Linked DNA regions of Drosophila melanogaster. The protein of the gene in region 1 interacts with the protein of each later gene in a pairwise test. Each region holds a gene or a part of one and is shown in the gene's direction. Other genes may lie near its edges.

Region 1 (6,573 bases):
ACAAATGTTGATGTATATCAACGTACCTCAACCGTTCTGTAGTAGGGATCCAAACATAATTGCGCCGTGGCCACGATCTGTGGAGTGCGATCCCAACCGTCTGAGCAATGTACAAGGACGGGTCGTCCATTCTTCTCGATGGTGTGCACAACGGTCATGGTGGCTCCCAGCAGACCCGACAGGTGCTGCATCCACATGGTCTTTTCCAGTTGTCCGTACCAGCTGCAAGAATATGATTCCATTACATAAATATATATATATCTTTAATAATCAGCTAGTAAACTTACTTTGGATCATCGGGGGATGACGCGCATAGCTGTCGGACAGCGTGGAAACTCTTTCGAATGGCGTGGATGTTGCCCAAGTTCATAAACTCAATCTCTGCACAGGGATAGTACTCGATGCACTCACAGCCGCCACCTCTGGCACGATTTGTAACTGCGGAGGTGTAGCTGCGAGCATCCACAATGAGGATTTTCTGAAAGCAAATACAATTTAAGAGCAATGATCAAATTATTTCATTAGCACTTGGCGGTTTTGACATCATTTTACTGCTCCGTGTTAAGTAATTTATGATAATTATTCATGAATGTTTTCTTATATGGTAACTGAAACCTTCATTTCAAGAATACCCGGCTATTTTGGTAATAAACTTACCTTGATTTCATCCAGCGTGAGTTCCTCATGCGAGGAATCGTCCAGAGATGGTGAACTCTTGCCGGATAAGCCCGACTGGCCGTTGGTCTCCTTGGAGCCCTTTGTTGGTTGCGCCTTTGCATTGGCGCAGGTGGAATGCCTGGCGTGCTCGCCCCTGTCAAAGGCACAGGCATCGGCGAGTGCCTTGAGTAGCTGCTCGTCCCTTGTGTTGCGCCAGCCGAGCCAACCGACCTCCGGCTGGCTGCATCGGGCCAAGATGGCACCCGACTTTTGGTGCCGCCAGACGACAGCCGGCAGCCTTCGTGATCCCCGGAAGTTGGCCACGTTGTGGAGCATCTCATCGGTGATACAGCAGGGCACAAGCAATTTGGGTGGATACGAGGGACAGAGCTTAAAATCGGCATTGGCCGTGGAGATGCGCCACGAGCCCTTCAGATCGAATCCCAAGCGGGCAACCTCGTTCTTAAAGTCGCTTTCATAGCGCACTGATCGTTGCAGGCGATTGCTCATGGCGGCTGAGATGGTCTCGCTGGCAGGATCGGGCAGAGGATTCGACGCTGTGACGTTGGCTGTTGGCTTTGCCAAGCCATTGTGTAGCGTTAGGCAACGATCCTTGGCAATCAGGCCGTTTCCGTTGGCCTGGGCGCTAACGATACCGCTTCCATTGCCACTTCCGAGCACATCGCAGGTCCAGGAGTAGAAGGGAAAGGCGAAGAGTGTCTCCAGTGACTCGGGAACCCCGATCATCAGATGGATCCGGCGCTGCCAGTCGGAGCACTGTTCCGCCGACGGAAAGGAGCAGCGCACAGTGCTGGCATCCTTACAATTGACAATCAGCTGGAACAGATCTCGCACCTGTACGGATTCGATTAATCCCAATGGAACGTAGGTCTCGTAGCCGGTTGACTGCTTGGAAAGGAATATCCGATAATTGGACAGGGCGAGGATACCATCATCCGTGCGCCCCAGGTACTTAATCGATTCGCCGGCCACTAGTGGTATATATACTATAGATTAGCATGTGTTATCGGTTACAGCATATGGGGGAACACCTACACTCTTGAAACGGGACGAACAGCTGGGAGTCTTCCTTCTCCATTTGTGACTTTGGATACGATTCGGCGGCACGGATAAAGCAAATCGATGGAGGCGGTGATCCATCGGACATTGTGTGAATCGGCTAAAAGAATACTTAACATGTAACGTATTCGAAATTACTTATTTGCTTATATTTAGGCAAGGCGATTTGGGTGTCATTGGAAATCCGGTTATCGCTTATAAGTGCATATATCTCTTATATCCACCATCCGAATACATAATTACGCACAACAGTGTGTGTGCGATGTTATTGGGACGATTCGATACGTATAGTATAGTGGCTCCCATAAATAAATAAATAATACTATGCACATATGTGCATGTGCATTAAGCAGTGCACAAACAAAGCCAAATAAATGTCACTGGGATGATAAATTGGGCACAATCAACACTTTTAGAACAAATCGAAGTTAATATTTGAGTTTTTGAGTGTCGTGGTGGCAATATAGATAATGCACTGCATATATATGCACGTATGGATGTACAATGTACAATGAACATACATTTATGTGAGCACACACAGTTGCAGTTCCACAAGGTGCGCAATATATAGTATGCACATATTTGTGTGTCGCTGCATTACATACGCACGCACATATATACCAATAGACTAGATTATCACGATTTCATAGCCAATAGGCGAAAAATGGCCGATTATCGTACTCAACGTATTCTAATGGCCGTGTATGTTGTCATAAACAAAGTAATTAAACATTTACGCATGTGTATGTTTGCATAAACTCATATGTATATTTGTCTATGTAGGTATGTTTGTGTTTCGATATTTCGGGGAGCAACAATAACACATTACAATCGTACATATGTATGCACACACATTTGGTTTTTGGATTCCACAAACCGTTCGCTCAGCAGACTTTTCGGGGTATTTAGCTCAAAACGTATTGCCGAATTGAAAACGCGCTTGGCTTCTAGATTTTCTCGCTCTATTTACCACCATAAAATCCATAAGCGTCAGCTATTATAAACAAAGATTTGCAAATGTTGTTGCACATACATATGTATGCATATGTATTCATTTAGACACTTTTTGTTTCATTTCCATTGAAATTGCTATCGTTGTTTGCTGCTATCGCTGTTATCGCTGCTGTTAGCGATGGCCAAGTCATGTGACTAAGCTATCGTTACTCGATTGCCGATGAGATGTGCATTCGAGACTAACCAACACTGGCCAGCCGATAAAATCAACCAAAAATTTGTAAAACTTAATAATTGTGCGTACGTTTGCATTCCATTCCAGCTGATGTGTAACTGAAATCAGAAAAAAAGAGAACCGATCGCTTGGACTCTCCGCCGGTGCACGCAATTCTACGCCCACTCCTCGCCAGCCGCATTCGCCATTCGGAAGCCGAACAAGAATGTTTGGAGCCAGAATCGGAATCGGAAAGCTTGGGCCGTGTGTGGCCCTAGTTGCGGTGAGTCGACGTGTTCCGTTCTGTCTGGTCATGTTGCTGGTCACTGGAGTGGCTCACCCGCTCGATCAGCGGGCGGGGAAACAGTGGGGAGGGGCCGGCCAGACAGCCCCGGCTTTTTTTTGGCTCCCCCTAACCAAATAACTAACTAACCAGAACTGACATCCTATGGAATTTACAGATTCTACAGCTACTCCAGTACACACAGCCGGCCGATGCCGCCGGAGCCGTGCCCATGACCAGTGATAATATCGATATGACCCTAGGTGAGATATGCCCATACCATAACCATCACAGTCATCCCCATGCCATTCCCGCTGCCAGCGTGAGCGGGAATCAATTAGCCGACTTGTCCCATTGACGTGTCACTAAACAAAATCACTGGCTCGCTCAATTCGGCACTGCCAACGTGGTAAAATAAGTTTTATGCGCTTTCGTAAAGGACAAGGTGTGGAATTTGGATAAAACTTAATTAGGGCGGTTTATATTTCATGCTGCATCGGTCCGATAGTCCGCCAAAATGGGCACTAGCCATTGGTCGGCAGTTCTTTGCTCAGAATGTCCGAAGTTTGGTCTTTGCATGAATAGGTCCTTTTTATACGGTGTGTCCTGTACACAATCCTGCGGTAATACTATATTGTTTTTTTAAAGTTATTTTTTTTTATTATCCAAACGTTAACTTTTACAGTAAAGCCTGGCCTTAGGCTTGCACCCCTTAAATTTTAACTTTCGGAAGTTATGGAATAGTAGGATGCTAGAAATTTCTTGACTTTAATATGTATATTCAGCGACAAATTTAAATATATTCCATAAAAATACATATGCATTTAAATTATTAATACATAAACCCGTAATTCAATATTGATATAAATATATTACCAAATATATGTTTTTAAAAGTTATTATATTTAGTATCTGAACGGAGTTGTATTCTACGCATCAACAATTTTACACACAATTTGGTGCCTACATTAAAAACACGTTTTGTTTTCTTGCAGCGTCTAATGAATTGGTTTTCCTTAATTTTTATGCGGAGTGGTGTCGGTTTAGTAATATTTTAGCACCTATATTCGCGGAAGCTGCAGATAAGGTGAGTCAAATGGATCGCCAGTAAAAGCTTACAAACAATGCGATACATTCATATACATTTTATATCGAATAAATACGTGGCATTCAATCGAATTTCTCTTACAGATTAAAGAGGAGTTTCCAGAGGCTGGAAAAGTGGTGCTAGGCAAGGTCGATTGCGACAAGGAAACGGCCATCGCGTCCCGTTTCCACATAAACAAGTATCCAACATTGAAAATTGTACGCAATGGGCAGCTCAGCAAGCGCGAATACCGAGGACAGCGTTCAGCCGAAGCGTTCCTCGAGTTCGTCAAGAAGCAGCTGGAGGATCCCATTCAGGAGTTCAAATCCCTGAAGGATCTGGAGAACCTGGACTCGAAGAAGCGCCTCATTCTGGGCTACTTCGATCGTAGGGACCAGCCAGAGTACGACATATTCCGCAAGGTGGCGACAAATCTGAAGGAAGACTGCCAGTTCCACGTGGGCTTCGGAGATGCCGCCCAGGCCATGCATCCACCAGGTGAATTCTATCAAACGCACCAAGTCATGCCAAGCCAATACTGAATGTCAGCTTTTTTGGTCTATTACAGGTACACCTATCATAGTATTTAGACCTGATGTAGCTCTGTCTCATGAGAACGATGAGACCTACACTGGCAGCCTACAAAATTTCGATGAGCTCAAAATTTGGGTCCAAGAGAAGTGTGTACCCCTGGTGCGGGAAATAACATTTGAGAATGCAGAGGAACTTACGGAGGAGGGTCTGCCGTTCCTAATTCTCTTCCACCACCCAACCGATCATAATTCTATCAAGGATTACAAGTCGATCATTGAGCGTCAATTGCTGGATGAGAAACGTAAGATGAATCATCGTGTTGTTTACTTTGCATATAAGCATTTGGTTTGACATTGTATTTTCGAAATTTTGCAGAGAACGTCAACTTTTTGACCGCCGATGGCAAGCGATTCGCGCATCCTCTGCACCATCTGGGTAAATCCGAGGATGACTTGCCCTTGATTGCCATCGACTCGTTCAAGCACATGTATCTGTTCCCCCACTTCAGTGACATGTACTCGCCGGGTAAGCTGAAGCAGTTCCTTCAGGATCTCTACAGTGGCAAGCTGCACAGGTAATTGTTATACAGCCGCCTTTGCTAACACCATGGGGCTCAATTACTAAACGGTCTGCTGCTTTGCTTTCCAGGGAATTTCATTACGGGCCGGATCCCTCAAATGATATTGAACCTGACCCACACACTGGCAAGGGTACATCGCCACCAGAGTCCAAATTCAAGGAACTTGGCCCATCCAAGCATCGCTACACCCTGCTAGAAAAAGATGAACTGTAATATAATAATAATAATGTATATTGAAAATAAAAGAAAATAATACAAAAATGTAATAATGAGCAACCTTCTCTGAAAGCAGATCAGCAGGTGAGCGGTTATCCATGCAAATAGCGGGCGCAGCAGCCTCAATTCTCTTCAATGCAATTCTAAAAATAAAAAGTCTGGATTTAACCACCTTTGTTATTGCAAAAAGAAACAGTTGCTGAATTATCCACAAATTGCACGCGTCACTTTTCAAGTTTTCCTCGTTTTGTTGTTAAAAATTACGCTGGAGATTTCGGCGAGGCGAACTTATTGAATTCTTTGGAATCCCCTTCTTAGTCAGCTAAGCTGGAAATGAATGATGTCAACTTCCGAATTCAAAGCAGTGATTTTGATTTTCTCTATATATATATATATATACACATATATATGAGCTATATATGTATACATATATATATGTTTATTCGTATGTACCATGTTACAGTTACAGTTGTTAAATTAGATTACATAATTATATAATATAATTCAGTCAAAACGAGCGATAACCGTGTGTGTGTTGGGATAAAAATCGGTTCAAATGAAGTCGTGTGCTGGCAATTATCATTTAAAAGTTGCTCTGACTGTTAATTTTAAAAGTACATTTAAAAGCGTACTCTCGCTACAATTAATAAGTAAAAGTGAAAAAAATAGGTGCCGCGTTCGGCTGGCTACCATGCGCTTAATATGGTCTCGAGCGCATGCCTCCATCGTTTCTCATCGGTCCACCATCGCGGCGATTGCCGCCACCACCTCCACGGCCACCGCGTCCTCCGCCATTGTTGTCATTGAAGCGGGAGTAGCCACCACCACCGCCGCCGCCGCCTCCGCCTCCCTGCGAGTTGCCACCGCGATCTCTGTTGTGATATCCACCGCCGCCGGATCCACGATCATTTCCTCGGTCGTAGCCTCCTCCGCCACCACCGCCGCCGTAGCCGCCGCCTCCACCACCT
Region 2 (5,168 bases), on another chromosome or scaffold:
ACCTGAAAGTGATTCTCTATCCAAATCCAAGTTGGGGCCAGTCCATCTATGCTGTTGCCATATAAGCATCAACAGCTAAACAAAAGTTTATGGCTATCTGCCCGCCTTATGATCTAAATGCGTTAATTATTAGGATGATACAATGCGATCGGAGCAGATAGCATAGATACAAAAATGGATAGACAGATAGATACATTGTGGTCAGCGGTCTCCAGTGGCTCGATCATTAGCATCTGAAAACCAGCGGCGCCTCTTTGAGCAATATTTCCTAATTTAGAACGTATGCTTTCCTACAGATCAGTATGCGATTTGCTAGACTGAGCAATTTATTAGTGACTTGGGGAGAGACTCCAGCTAGGAGTCGTTTATTTTGTTTAGTGGCTGTGTAAACATTGCTTACAGGGCATGATGATTAGTTCGGTGTAATACAAACAGCCTTCTTGGGGAACTCACTTGCCCCCTCCAGACTTTTAGGGCTATTTTGTAAGATGTTCTGTTATGGCTGCTGTTTTATGTTGGCATCATTTGGATGCCGGCTGTTTGTTGTTGATTACAAAACAAGCGTTTTGTTGCCGATTGCATGGTTGCATGGAGAACGCTCTTCCTGGAATCTTTTGAGATGTTTTTCATTAGTCCACCATTCTCGCAACATCCGTAGTATATGAATATGCATCATCGTATTTTGGAATATTTTTAAATTTTCGCCGACCTCCACGGCGGCGAAATGGATTTTTAATTTCCAACTATACTTTAATTTGGCAAACGAGCTCTGGTCTTTTAATTGATTAATTCTTATTGCTGCGTTTGATTAAAGAAAATATTTAGTATACAATAGGGTCAATTGCTACATATGGTAATTTGGCACAGAAGACATTTATGTGGAAGAGTTCTCGGCGTTCAAATAATGGAGCGAATGGCTACTATTTTTATTCACTGACGCGATCAGTAGATTGATCTTGACCCACATTGGATGGGCTGGGATCCGGCAGATGTCGCACACTCTATGCCCAAATGAGACAATATAAAGTATAAAGTATAAAGTATTGTTTATAATGATACCAATTTGAGACAAATCAGTTACACTTGCCTATCTAAACTATTACGATATGTTTGTTCAGCTTGTGTAGATTATTTAGATATATCTTTATATTTGTCGCATTTCTGAGTAAAGGCTGTCGTGTCAGTTTATTTACGTCAAAAAAAGAATTTTTTTTGATACTGATGAGCTAGTCATCATTGTACCATTCTCTGTGATCATCAACTTCCTTTTTTTCTTCCGAAATGACTTCTTCCGGAAGTGCACCACTGGTAATGCCCAGGGTCTTATCCTCTATTTCAAAAGAATTCGTATTCAAAGTTTTTAGTACTGCTCGGTGCGATTAGTAATGCATAGGCTAGTAAAATAAGTCATAAGTAAAAAGAGTTTTATTATTTACTCAAGTACATACTTACTCAAATTGGTTGGTATCACACAAGTGTGAACATGTTTACAAATTTTGATTACTTTTAAAAACTATTACTGAATAAAGCATGCAGCATAAGCCTATTTTTTTTTTTTTTAATATTTATATTATTTCATCCGAAAAGGCAGATACTCTAGATGCAAAGATTGTTACTATGCTAACACACCTTATCTTATCCGATGATAATTATGTCCACACACTTAATCCTCACATGTGCAAAAATATTGAGTAAGCAGAGGCGCACTTAAGAGAGCGTTCGAGTGCTCTTTTAAGCCGCGCTCGGCTCTCTTTTCGCCACAGCGCTCTCTGCGCAGAGAAGCCGGCTGTTCTGCGTACTGATATGATTCTGACGTATTTCTAATCTCTCTAAAACACTCCTTCGGAATCGAAATCCTAAGCCCATTCAGCAAACCCATATCCCTATACTCGTGCCTACATACGAGTATGTACATACATATGTACATATGTATGTATGTATGTTGTACAGCATATAGCTGCGAGAGAACCGCTTTTAGCTTTCGGAGCGATATATGTTCGCGATCTCAGATTGCTTGGCGGTACGGCGGAACGTCCGCTACCAACTGCTGTTCGGCGAGCAGTGTTCAGTCCGCAGCGGGAACTCAAGCGAGCCGAAACGAAACATCGCCAGATACAGATACAAATTCTCTGGTTCGCAGCATTGGTCTGGTCCATCGGCTCGTTCTCGTCCGTTTCATTTATTTGCGCGCGCGCGGTAGTATCAGACAATTGCTAAAGTTCCATTTGTAATATTAATCCAGTTGCGATTTCTAATTCGAATTTGAATACGTATTCATCCCAGTGCGCCAGTGTATTCCGTATCCTGACCAGCCATGTCGGCCAGATGGCGATAGCGATGCCGATGCCAAACGATCGGCGTGTTCTTGTGAACTCTGACATGGTGCTCAGTTGTGGGACAACCTTCGCCACCGAAAAGTTTGCAAAAATAGCCGCTGGCCGAAAGCGAAAAGAAAGCCAGCAACTCAGAATGCCAACGGTGGCCAAGTTAATGGTGCAGCTCGAAAGTGAATGCATTCGGCGCGATGTGTGAAGTTCAAGCTTAACATTGGCCAAAACCCAACCGCAACTGCGAATAAATTCTGTGATTCGGCAAAAAGATTCATCATGAGATCGTACAATGGCTCCAGTACTAAGTAGTTTATCTAGCTAATCGCAGCCATAAGTGTGAGTCGTTTTAATACCCACGAGCCGTAGTCTTTGCCTTTCTGTTCGTTCGTATTTTCGCATTTTTTGGCGGGTGCGGTGCCCACGGCAACGGAACGAGACTGTCGCATTTCAATTAACAAAATAAGCAAAAAGCCAAAGAGCCAAAGAGCCATAGAGCCAACATAAGTGTAAAGATACATATATCTACAAGATATACGTATAGCCGTATATACGCATACTGTGGATTTTGTTGCTCTTTCGCGCGCATTTTTGCACGTGCCATTTGGGATTTCGGATTTCTGAGATTGGAGATCGCTATCTTATCTGGTCATCGCCATGTCCATGCCGGATGCCGGTTCACTTAAATCGCCCGCCGGCGGCCAGGAGGTCGAGTGCCATCGCCTGCTGTCGGACCTGCCCGCCTTCGCGTATCCCAGCACCACACTGCGGTCCACAACTTCTGGTCACAGCACTGGCACGAATAGTACCACTGTCTGCGAATCTCCCGGTGCTCGGGATCGTACCTCCTTCGCGTGCTCCTCCTCTTGCGTATCATCCGCCTGCTCAGCCACCGCCTCCGATGACGACGAGGATGAGCGTGCCCTTGAGCGCTGTCTGCGTGGGACGACGGACGACCTTGGGGAGTCCGGCCTGCGGTATTCGCTGAAAGGACCACCGCCGGAGCTCTACTCGGCCAAGAAGGACTTCATCAGCAAGGGTCCGCTGCTGGGCAGACAGGTAGGTCCTAAATCCGAGCTCTACATAAGTATAAATATTTTTGGAGGCCTAGTCCGCCGCATCGAATTTCGTGGGCTGATCGAATTCGCAGACCGGGATTTTAACGATTTTTCATTTATTTGTGTTTGTATTCGTCTCTGTCTCTCTCTCTCTTTTTTTTCTACTTTATCGAAATCGGCTGGCCAAGCGAAAACCAAATTTAAGTTAATTTATTGCATTGATTCCACATCAATGTGTCGAGTTCTTTCCTTTCTTTTATAATTTCGGTTGATTTGCCGATATTTTGGTGTGCTCGTCTCGTTTTGTATGCCGCATTGTTTTATTTCGTTTCATTTCATTTCATTTCATTTTTTTTTTTGTTTTGTTGCTTTTGCCGCCACTCTGGCTCTCTATTCGATTTTGATTAAATACCACTGGCGACACAAAGAAAGCGACAACCAAAGCGTTGACCACCGCATTTGAATTCACACGCCTCACTGGCCACGAAGCACCGCGCACGCGGCAGCGGAAATGTGAATCTGGATCCCAAGTTGGATCCACGATAGGATTCTCGGCAACCTCACCGTTCGACAGCTTCAAACAGACTGAAGATGGCAACGTGTTCGAAGCACTTCGATCCAAATGCGCCAGAGCGCCTCCACGAAGTGCATTCATATATCAAGCAATCTGGTCATCAAACTATTCCTTTTGGTTTGGGTTTGCAGCTCCCACTTCTTTAGCTGACTCATAATCCATCCATTTGCGTCACACAGGGTCTGCTGATGTATGTCGGACGTGTGTTTCCGCCAGGTTGCCACTATCTTGCTCTAGCTCTGCAGCAACAATTTTCGGGAAAGCGAAAGATTCTGCAGCATCGGGAGCACATGTCCCACAGGAGATAAGAACATAAAAGATATCTAATAGAGATAAAGAACAAAGACGCCCCTGTCTGGATGTCACTGATATTCCATATTCCAGACAGGATTGGGTACGAACTTTTTTTTGCCCATTAGTGCGAGGCAGACGACGAATTAAGATGCAAATTTCGATAAACATTTTCAAGTTCGGTTTAAGGAAATGGTATTGCAGTTACACACGACCTGGGTGGAAACAGCACATAACTACGATTTACAGAGCTCAACAAGGTGTGAAAAGCGTTTGTTTCGGGACGTGACAACAACGTGAATGGAAACATGCCTAAATCACGGCTTACTGGCTAACTGGCAAGCTGGCTAACTGGCTAACTGGCTAGCTGGCTTACAGGCCATTAGAATTTTATCAACGTCCGCCTGGCGGGCAATGTAAAATGTGAAAAACGACACGATCCCCCGGTCCATGAATACATAATAATGCATAATAATGTTGGGTGCGCGAGTGGTGAAGTCTGTAGGCCCAACTGCCACTGATAACGGGCCATGTGTGGCAACGTAACCCCCTCGGGATCGAATGGGAATAGGATGTACTGTCTATTTGGGTTGTATGTATAAACTCGTATGCACATCGCTTGGCATTTTAGAAGCACATGAGTAATTGTGACATATTCAGTGCGGTGCGACTCGATTCACTCGCTGTTGTGAATGTTTCGAAAATAGATTTTCTAGTTTTTCGCGTGGCGCCTAGAATCTGAGAAGTCGGGAAATACATGCATGTAAGTAAGGCTGCGCCGTCCAATTTGTATTTCGACAATAAAATTTTCACAATGTGTAGAATTTGAATATTTATTTTCTTGCTTTTTGTTTCTGTTTCGCGTTTTGTCTTTTTTTTTTATTTATTTATTTAGTTTTTTTTTTTGAGTCGTACGTC
Region 3 (3,961 bases), on another chromosome or scaffold:
TGCTTTTCAAGGATACGCGGATGGGAAATGGGCCGAATGGGCCGAATGGGAGCAGCACCCATTTAAGTTGTCATTTCCGTAACATATTCCAATGGCCCCGCACAATGGGCGAGTCCATATTTGAATTTGCCGTTTAACAATAGCCCCAATGGCTTCCCTTCCGGTGAGTTCCCCCACTTTGCCCCATTTCCGCTGGGTTCCTTATTATGCGGATGACAATGCGTATTTTATGCCGCCTGTCGGCATTGATTATAAAGCTGAGTGCTGTTCGGTAACCTTTTATTTGTGCAGCAGTGTGGGATGAGGAAATCATCATCATTCCACATGACCCATTCAGGGGCTCTGTAAGCGCAATGTCTAATTGGACAGACCCTTGGATGAAGATGCTGAAGCGCTCTATGAACTGTAGCCCAACAGCTCTCAATATGAGTTCTACCAGGGGAACGTTTTATTGGAACAACAAGACATTACCTCACCACTCATTTTATGGAAAAAACCGCCGTTTTATAAGTTAAGATTAACATAACATCAAAGTCACTCGGTCACTCTTCAACCTTCGGATGGAAGCCGGTTGCATCTGCGGTGTAAGTCACGCGAATTTGCTTGCCATCTTCGCCGGGAAGGAAGTATTCGCCCTGGATGCCGTTCACATTGCCTTGAGCTTTCACTTGGATCCCATTGCTGACCGTGATCTCATGCTGGAACTGCCCAGCTCCATCCAGGTTCTGGCGGTTCTCCGACTTCAGAAGTTGCGCCTGCAGATCCTCCTCACTGCAGCTGGCCAAAACGACGAAAAGGGCAAAGATAAGGCTCTGAAATTGAGAGGTGGCTGATTATCCAATAGTCTGTTTGAAATCCGATTAAACTCACATATTTCAGCATTTTGGAGCAGCTTCTTGAAATGAAACAATGCCCGTCGGCCTTTTATACTATACTCCGAAGCTGCCTAGCCCACTAAACGGGTTTCAATCGCATCTGCTAATGAAATGACTGAGATTAACCAGACAGCCATGAATATGAAATTTGCGGCTACTCAATCGAGTCTGCTTCTGGCACCAGAAGCAGGCCAGCCTCCCCCAACTAATTGATTGCGATTTTGTTAACCCATTTTGCTACTAAAAGAACATTTAATCATCAACAATGAATTTGAAAACTATGCGCCCGCGGCCTTCGGAAGGATTTCTTGTGCAGGCTTGGAATCCCAGTCTCTATACCTAATTTCTGGATTGCTCAGAATCTTGGCCACACCCTTCAGAAAGCTTGGCTTACTGATAGTGGTTTTTCTCACAGAATCGTTGCTTTTCTTTTCCAAGGCATGCGGTATAAGTGAGGAAAAATTTAGAGATGCCTCGTTAGTAAGTGTCCCATCTGAGGATTCAATTGGCAAGAGAGACATCCCCTTATTTCGCTTGTTGTTGAACTTCTCGAGATATTTCTTGGCACCCAAACGGGCGGATGTCTTTAAAGCATTCATATCCCAGGACACTCCCAGCTTGGATTTGATCTCCTCGGAGGCAGTCTTGTCGTTCGAAGAGAACAGCGTTTGGAACATCTTCTTCAGCTCGAGGTCCTTGGGATCTTGTAGCGATCGGACTGCCCGCGGATCAATCTGCCCAATGGAATTGTCTTGGCTTTTGGTTTCCGCCTCCCGCTTGGAATCCTTGTTCAGCTCAACTAAGTCGTTTAACGACAATTTGGGGTCCAAGTTCCCTTGCAGCTGCTGGAAATCCATTTCGGGCGCATCCTTCGGCAGGTAGCCGCGGCTTTTCAGGTAAACTAGCGGCGACTGCCAGTTGTCGATGAGGTTCTTAACAATGGTGTCAACCGAATTCTCATACTTAACTACTTTTAAATTGCGATCAGCTGCAGCACTATAAAATAGACAGATGTATAAGATTAAAGAAATCATTTTAATTTAAATTGTGAGCCTGTTATCGATGACTTTGTGAAACGGCTACACTATCGATATAAATTGTTATTGACAGCTACGTCTCAGCAGCCCTGGATCTAAATCAGCTGTTGTGTTGTAAGCAAACGTAAAATTAACAAAATCCTACAATTATTTTGTTTTTTATTGAATTTCATAGCCTTTCAGGTTTTTGGTTGATCGCACAGGACTGCAACGCTATTATGGTCATCACCAACAACACAACACTGCCCGAGGAGTCGGAGCTGAACGTCCAGGAGCTAAATCTATCGTCGGCGGCCTTACGGGCAGGCGCCTTCCATTTGGGCAAGCAATGCGAGCAGGCCAATAATGTTAGTACATCCAGATTGCAGGGGAATCCTCCTGATAGTAATGCTTAGGTGAAAAGCGCCTTAAAGTGAAGCTGGGAGCCGCTGCCTCTTTAAAATCCGAGCGGCTTAGTTATATAACCTAACCTCAAAAAGCACCTTCCCCGTTTGTTTACCTTTTCCTTCGTGTAATTTCAGGAGTTTATGCTGTGCCGGCAGGAGCTGGATGACCCGCGAGCCTGTTTGGCGGAGGGCAAAGCCGTGACCAGCTGCGCCCTGGACTTCTTCCGCAAGGTGAAGAAGACCTGCCATGAGGAGTTCACGCAGTACGCCACCTGCCTGGATAAGAGCAGCGGTACTATGGCTTTTTCACAGTAAGCACTCCGTAAATGTTGAATATTCCAATCATGCTATACCAATGTCCATCCATACTTTAGTTGCCGCAAGACCCAGGGAGTGTTCGACAAGTGTATCAAAGATAACTTCGACTGGGATCGTCCCTCCTATGGATACTTCTCGAGGGCCAAGGTAATTTCTCGGCATGCTTTATTTAGACCTCTCCTAATCACTTCTGTTTTCAGGTCATCCAATCAGCTCGGGAAGCACCCAAGAAGGAGGAGAAGGTCTCCTATCCCGATGCCACCCCCGGTTTGCCCGAGGATTACCCCAAGCCGCCAGCAAAGTACGGTTCCCGCTTCCACTGGCTGGAGTAGACAGCTGCCAGCGCCTAGTGAAATTTGAAAGCGTTCATCTTAATATAAACTCTTGTTTCCATTAGTACTCGATATATTTATTTCATCGTATCTTTTTCCTCGACACAGTTTGCTTGATTTTGGCCATAATATCCAGGTACTGGTTGTTCAGGCAGCATCCGCAGTAGCTAACAGGGAAGCAGGCGCTGCCCTCGATACGGCGGAAAAGTGGCGTGTTCTGATAGAAGACCCACGAGATGTTTTCTTCGCCCAGCACCAGCATGATCTTGTCGAAGCGGACGCCCTGCACCTGAAACAGCTCCATGTCGCCGGTGATGATGCGCCACTCTGCGTAGCGTATGTTAGCATCTGGGGGCAGCTTGGAGCGCTCCCTCATCATCACATGCTCGAACCAATCGCGCACTTGGATAATCGATCCGGTGGGAGCGTGCTTTCTGATCTGGTAGCTGATGCGCGGGTACAGAGGATTTCTGCGACAGGAATGAATGAGTTTCTGGCGATCTCTTGGGTATTTATATTAATTGCTTACATGTAAGGAACAAAGGCCAGGCGCACCAGCACAAATTCAACTTTCTCTCGAGGAGCCATCTTGAAGATAATTTTATTTTTATGCGGACGACGCACTTCACAGGCACTGCTATGCAATACTAATGAACTTGGTCCACTGCTCAGACTATATATGCATAATACGCGACTTGCAGGCAGGTAGAATCATTGCTAAAGCAGATGTTCCGTTTCTAATCCCAAGAAAAAGTCCCAGTTTTCCCGTTAGTTACCTGTATCGATTTTCTCATTTACAGTTTTATTGCTAAAAAGATTTTTCTTATCCTAGAAGAGGGAGCGCTACTCCGTGTACCACTTGGTACGCTTAGGCTTCTTGATTTTACCTCCCGTAACGCCGCCACCTCCTTGGTTTCCACTAATCATGTTCTTGTACTTATTAATTAGGGGCCGAAGGTCATCCGTTTCCTTCTTGCGTCCTTGCTTGGGCCGATTATTTGCCTTGCGCTCTG
Region 4 (4,259 bases), on another chromosome or scaffold:
TGAGCTCAACTTCTTTTCGGGCTTTTATTTAATCAGGCATAGTTCAAAAGTTGTGAGCAAAAACTTTTGGCCCAGCAATTGTTTTGCTCAAATGCCTTTGACATTCTGCTCGGCTCTGTTCTTTTGCGACATGAGATGCGAATATTTGTCGCAATCAAATAAAAACTTTGCAGGATTATAAAAAGGTAAAGGAGCAGCTGTATTCCCCAAGGAAATGGTAGGTAGGCAGTCGGTGCGCGGCAAGCGCAATAAGCCAGCCTAGCCACTTTGGGTTGAAAAATCTAATAACTGGTAAATCACCTTGCAAAATGTTGTTCATTTCACAGCGCTATAAACACGCATCGAGCCTCGTCCTTGGGCGGCCGACCTCCCCTTGTCGACTTAAACACTTACAACGACTTAACCACCTTTTGTTATTTTGCCTGCGTAGCCCTGTCTGTCACTTTAATCTGCCTGCCACACGCAGAAGAGCCAGCAAGGAGGCGAAAATCCAACGAAGGACACTCACATGGTTGAAGTTTGCATGCCTGGCGAGGCTTGCAAAGTTATTAACACGCGGCTCCGACTTAAATAAGTCATATTCCAGCCGCCTTTCGGGCTCAGCTCACTGCCTCCTTGACTGACTTCTTGTCTGGCTTGCAAAGGAGGTGAGGAGGACATTAATGGGGTTTTCCTATTAATTGCACGACTGGCCTGAAAGTGAAAGCACTGAGCAAGAAAAGTTGGCCAAAGACCGATCCAACGTCTGTGGCAAAAGTGGTTCGTTTAAGTTTAGGGCAATAATGGTAGAAATTTTCACAAATCATGTGGGAACACAATGACACGAAAAATGTATTAATTTTAAGTTAAGAATTTACTCAGCTTGGAATTGAAATCGATTTGATAATTGACAGGTATGTGATAGTCAAGCCGTTTATTTCACTACTTCCCTAGCACACCATGTAATCAATGAGATTGTACAATCTTTCCATTAACGTTCCAAAAATTTCTTACAAAATTATGCGTTTCGAGTAAATGTACCTTAGGGTACCGATTTCGATTTCTATCAATAAAAGTTTTGTGAAATACATCTACCGCTAATGGAAATTCATGTTTCGAGGACGGCCATCTGCGTTGGCTGTCGATGAAGGCAAATCCTGTTGCAAATGTCGCTACATTCGTGCGACTTGTTTGTAAATTATAAAATAATGCCGGTTGCATTTCCAACGACGTCTGCTGCTTCTGATTTTCCACTTTTCCGCTTTTGTTTTTCGGATGTGGTCATAGGCTGAGGGGGCGTGGTGGGAGGGCCTGCACGGCAATTTTTATGCCAAAGTGGCACATATTTGGCTTAGCTTTTAAACATCGCGACTAGAAATCATACCTGAGCACCAGTGGCAGTGGCAGCATATACTTTTTTGGGGGCAGCTAGTTTTTCGGCTGATATATAAAAAAGGTTAGTGGAGTTGAAACCCAACTGAAATAGGGCCCCCTTAATCCCCCCCAAGATCAGCCTCTGGCTTTGAGCAGCCGATGTGATGTAGCAGTGAGGCAGTGTGGCATGTCTGCCACGGCAGCGTACTCGACTGTCGGCGCTGTCAAATAACTGACATTACCTTGCCGCCACAGCTGCACCACCGCACCACCTCCACCCGGCTTGTAGAGCCGGTGAGCCACTGCACCACCGCAGACGACGCCGTGTTGTCGTCATCGCTCCAGAGCCGCGCACTTTCGTGACTATGAACAATAAAAATTTCGATTAGAATGTAAGAGCAACAACCGTTCGCGGCAACTTCAGCTGCTGCAATCAAGTTGTGCGCGGCCCGATCGGCAATCCGTGGACCCGGGCTTGAGTGGGGGAGCTGTGTGCCACAGACGTAGAATTATAATAGGAAAAAAGAGCTAAATTGCATATTAATAGAAATTGAAACCTAAATGTTATGCAGCGCAAAGCGTGCGGTAGACAACCATTTCATTACATTGTCCTGAGCTGAGAAGGGTGGCAGCCGTCGAAAGGGTGGTGCAAGGATATGTAGGACATACCCATGCAATCAAGGGTATGTCGTATTCATTCACATTTAAACGAAAAGGGGAAAATGAACCTAAGACTATTCATCTCATTTGAGTTTTATGTCAAGAAACGAAAAAGTTTATTGTTCGCTATTCCAACACACAAACTTAAACACTTTTCATAGACTTCAAAGTTTATCGGTTCTGAAGCCAGCAAGGTGTTCCATAAATCGTCCCTGACGACGTATTGAATTTGAATATTGGCTACACAAGAAGGTAGGTTCATCTGCCCCATAAAGATTACTATCTGTACTCAGAAGAGGAATCCTAGGAAAGAAGAGCACTGCAAAATGGCATTTCTGGGCAAAGTCAACAGTCAGGGAACCCTTATCGACCATGAACTATTCTGCATGACCCAGCCCAGCCAGCAGGATTCAGATGGCCAAGCCAGAGAGATGGGGGCTCGTGTACTGCTACCGCGAAGAAAGGGTTCCAGGACTTTCATCAAGACCTGTGACAAGGACAGCCTCGTGCGCTCTATGGGTAGCCCCAGCACAGTGCGCTACGTGGGCAGCTCCGAGTCGTCCAGTGAAGTCAACTCATTGGACGAGACGGAGACCTCCACTCTGCGCTGCTGCTCGGATTTGTCCCTGGGCACCCTGAAGTCGACCAAGACAATTGAGGGGCCCCGCGTCGGTGAACTGGGAGAGGATATCGAGCTGCAGACGGAGTCGGAGACGGTCTGCCTGCATCTGGGCAGTCCCAGCAGTAGCACCAGCACGGACCGGAGTAGCTGCAGCAGCCGATCCTGCCCCTCTTCCCGCAGCGGCAACAATTCCAGCGACAAGGACTCGACGACCTCGATGTGCAGCTGGGAGGAGGCCATGTCCCGGGACGACAGCATGCTGGCCCCGCTCGAGTTGCCACTAAGCCACAGCCTGCCCTCGCTGCGCCTGGGATCGAGCGTAGGATCGCCGCCCCTTACCTACACCCGCCGCATCGAACCGCTCCATATCCGGCGGTCCGCCGGTGAGGCCTACGAGAACTGGCTGTCCGGCAAGCAACGCCAGTGCCAGTACAAGTTGCAGGCGCAGCAGGCCGAGAGAGAGGCGCAGCGGCAGCGAACGGAGCTGAGGCAGCGGCTCGCCAAGGAGAAGTACGAGCAGTGGTGTCAGCAGAAGGCGCAGCAGACCACCAGTACCGCCAAGCTCACCAAGCCCGACCGTTCTGCCCAGCTGCCGCCGCAAAAGAATATGGCGTCTGTGCAACATCACCTGCAGGAGTGGGAGCTGCACAAGCTTAGGCTGCTCGAACAGCGTCGCCTCGAGCAGCGGAATGCCGAGCGGCGGCGCCAGGAGGAGAAGGCCGCCCGCCGCTCGCAGGCGGAAGAGGCCTTCAGTCGGTGGATGAGCAACGTGGCCCAGAGGCCCAAGCCCGTCCCCTCCAGCCAGGGAATGAAGTCGCTGCGCGGCACCGTTTCCGACATCTTTATAAACCCCAAGCAGTGGGTGAATTAAGCTGGTCGGATTTGAAATGGTCGGAGGTGGGGAGAAGTGTATGGCCTGGACAGGCTGCCTAAAAGGTGAGAGTTAGCTCGCCCTGTGAAACCAAAGTTTTAACAAGTGTAACCATATTTATTTATTTAGCACTATTAAATACCCGAAAAGAATGTTTCTTGGTTTAGTTTTCTAAAGTCATAGTAAGCCTTAGATAATTGTAATTTTGATAAATTTCCATAAGTGAATATGTAGAACAGTTTGCACCTTAAAGATGATCAGTTTACTAGCTCTTAGCAGTTAGTGGCCACTTGCTCATTAGTGGGTCAAAAGCATTCAGTTTACCGCTACACAATCATACAAGGAGAGTCGGTGGTCCGTTAATGAGCTGCATTAAGCTGACCCCACAAAGGAGATGTTGCATGCCCCCGACGGTACACATGCTCATCATCATTAGCAAATGCTATAAATCATATATATCCAATTTGACCGTCTAGGCGATATATGTCTATATTCAGTCTCAAAGTGTTCAAATGCATTTACAATGCAACAATTTATGTGAAATTTCCATAGTAAAGGCAAGAGGTAGAGAGATATAGTTACATCGACTATAAGATATCCATTACTTGCATCGCTTTGCTCAAGATTGCAAAGATGATTGAATATGTCTGTATATTTAATGAAATAACATTTTATACACTACTGCTATATATTTCTCAAATTTTCACTCACAACAATGTGAGCACATGATACACTTTTTGTCTCAATAGCAAA

What was found.
Region 2: the proteins of ERp44 (region 1) and AdamTS-A interact in a two-hybrid assay, tested with the Drosophila melanogaster proteins (one large-scale study listed by BioGRID).
Region 3: the proteins of ERp44 (region 1) and ND-19 interact in a two-hybrid assay, tested with the Drosophila melanogaster proteins (one large-scale study listed by BioGRID).
Region 4: the proteins of ERp44 (region 1) and CG14011 interact in a two-hybrid assay, tested with the Drosophila melanogaster proteins (one large-scale study listed by BioGRID).

What each region holds. Positions count from the first base shown.
Region 1 is NC_004354.4:16,292,925-16,299,497, reverse strand, and holds ERp44 (endoplasmic reticulum protein 44), read left to right. Parts: upstream 1-1,837; 5' UTR 1,838-1,856; intron 1,857-2,258; exon of another isoform or gene 2,259-2,415; intron 2,416-2,590; exon of another isoform or gene 2,591-2,707; coding exon of another isoform or gene 2,708-2,722; exon of another isoform or gene 2,723-2,827; intron 2,828-2,910; exon of another isoform or gene 2,911-3,013; 5' UTR 3,014-3,131; coding exon 3,132-3,188; intron 3,189-3,227; exon of another isoform or gene 3,228-3,366; coding exon 3,367-3,451; intron 3,452-4,183; coding exon 4,184-4,275; intron 4,276-4,379; coding exon 4,380-4,773; intron 4,774-4,843; coding exon 4,844-5,110; intron 5,111-5,184; coding exon 5,185-5,383; intron 5,384-5,457; coding exon 5,458-5,602; 3' UTR 5,603-5,645; downstream 5,646-6,573. Other genes in the region: CG3632 (uncharacterized protein), read right to left, coding at 27-222, 288-478, 658-1,649, 1,714-1,837, 2,708-2,722; caz (cabeza), read right to left, coding at 6,303-6,573.
Region 2 is NT_033777.3:15,473,105-15,478,272, reverse strand, and holds the start of AdamTS-A (ADAM metallopeptidase with thrombospondin type 1 motif A), read left to right. Parts: upstream 1-2,079; 5' UTR 2,080-2,984; coding exon 2,985-3,386; intron 3,387-5,168.
Region 3 is NT_033778.4:24,662,421-24,666,381, forward strand, and holds ND-19 (NADH dehydrogenase (ubiquinone) 19 kDa subunit), read left to right. Parts: upstream 1-1,977; 5' UTR 1,978-2,026; exon of another isoform or gene 2,027-2,036; intron 2,037-2,087; exon of another isoform or gene 2,088-2,095; 5' UTR 2,096-2,130; coding exon 2,131-2,259; intron 2,260-2,433; coding exon 2,434-2,609; intron 2,610-2,672; coding exon 2,673-2,763; intron 2,764-2,816; coding exon 2,817-2,948; 3' UTR 2,949-3,019; downstream 3,020-3,961. Other genes in the region: Cpr60D (cuticular protein 60D), read right to left, coding at 543-812, 871-882; CG30161 (uncharacterized protein), read right to left, coding at 1,154-1,909; CG34214 (uncharacterized protein), read right to left, coding at 3,031-3,418, 3,478-3,536; CG4806 (uncharacterized protein), read right to left, coding at 3,792-3,961.
Region 4 is NT_033779.5:5,578,972-5,583,230, reverse strand, and holds CG14011 (uncharacterized protein), read left to right. Parts: upstream 1-2,114; 5' UTR 2,115-2,265; intron 2,266-2,320; exon of another isoform or gene 2,321-2,328; 5' UTR 2,329-2,339; coding exon 2,340-3,506; 3' UTR 3,507-3,651; downstream 3,652-4,259.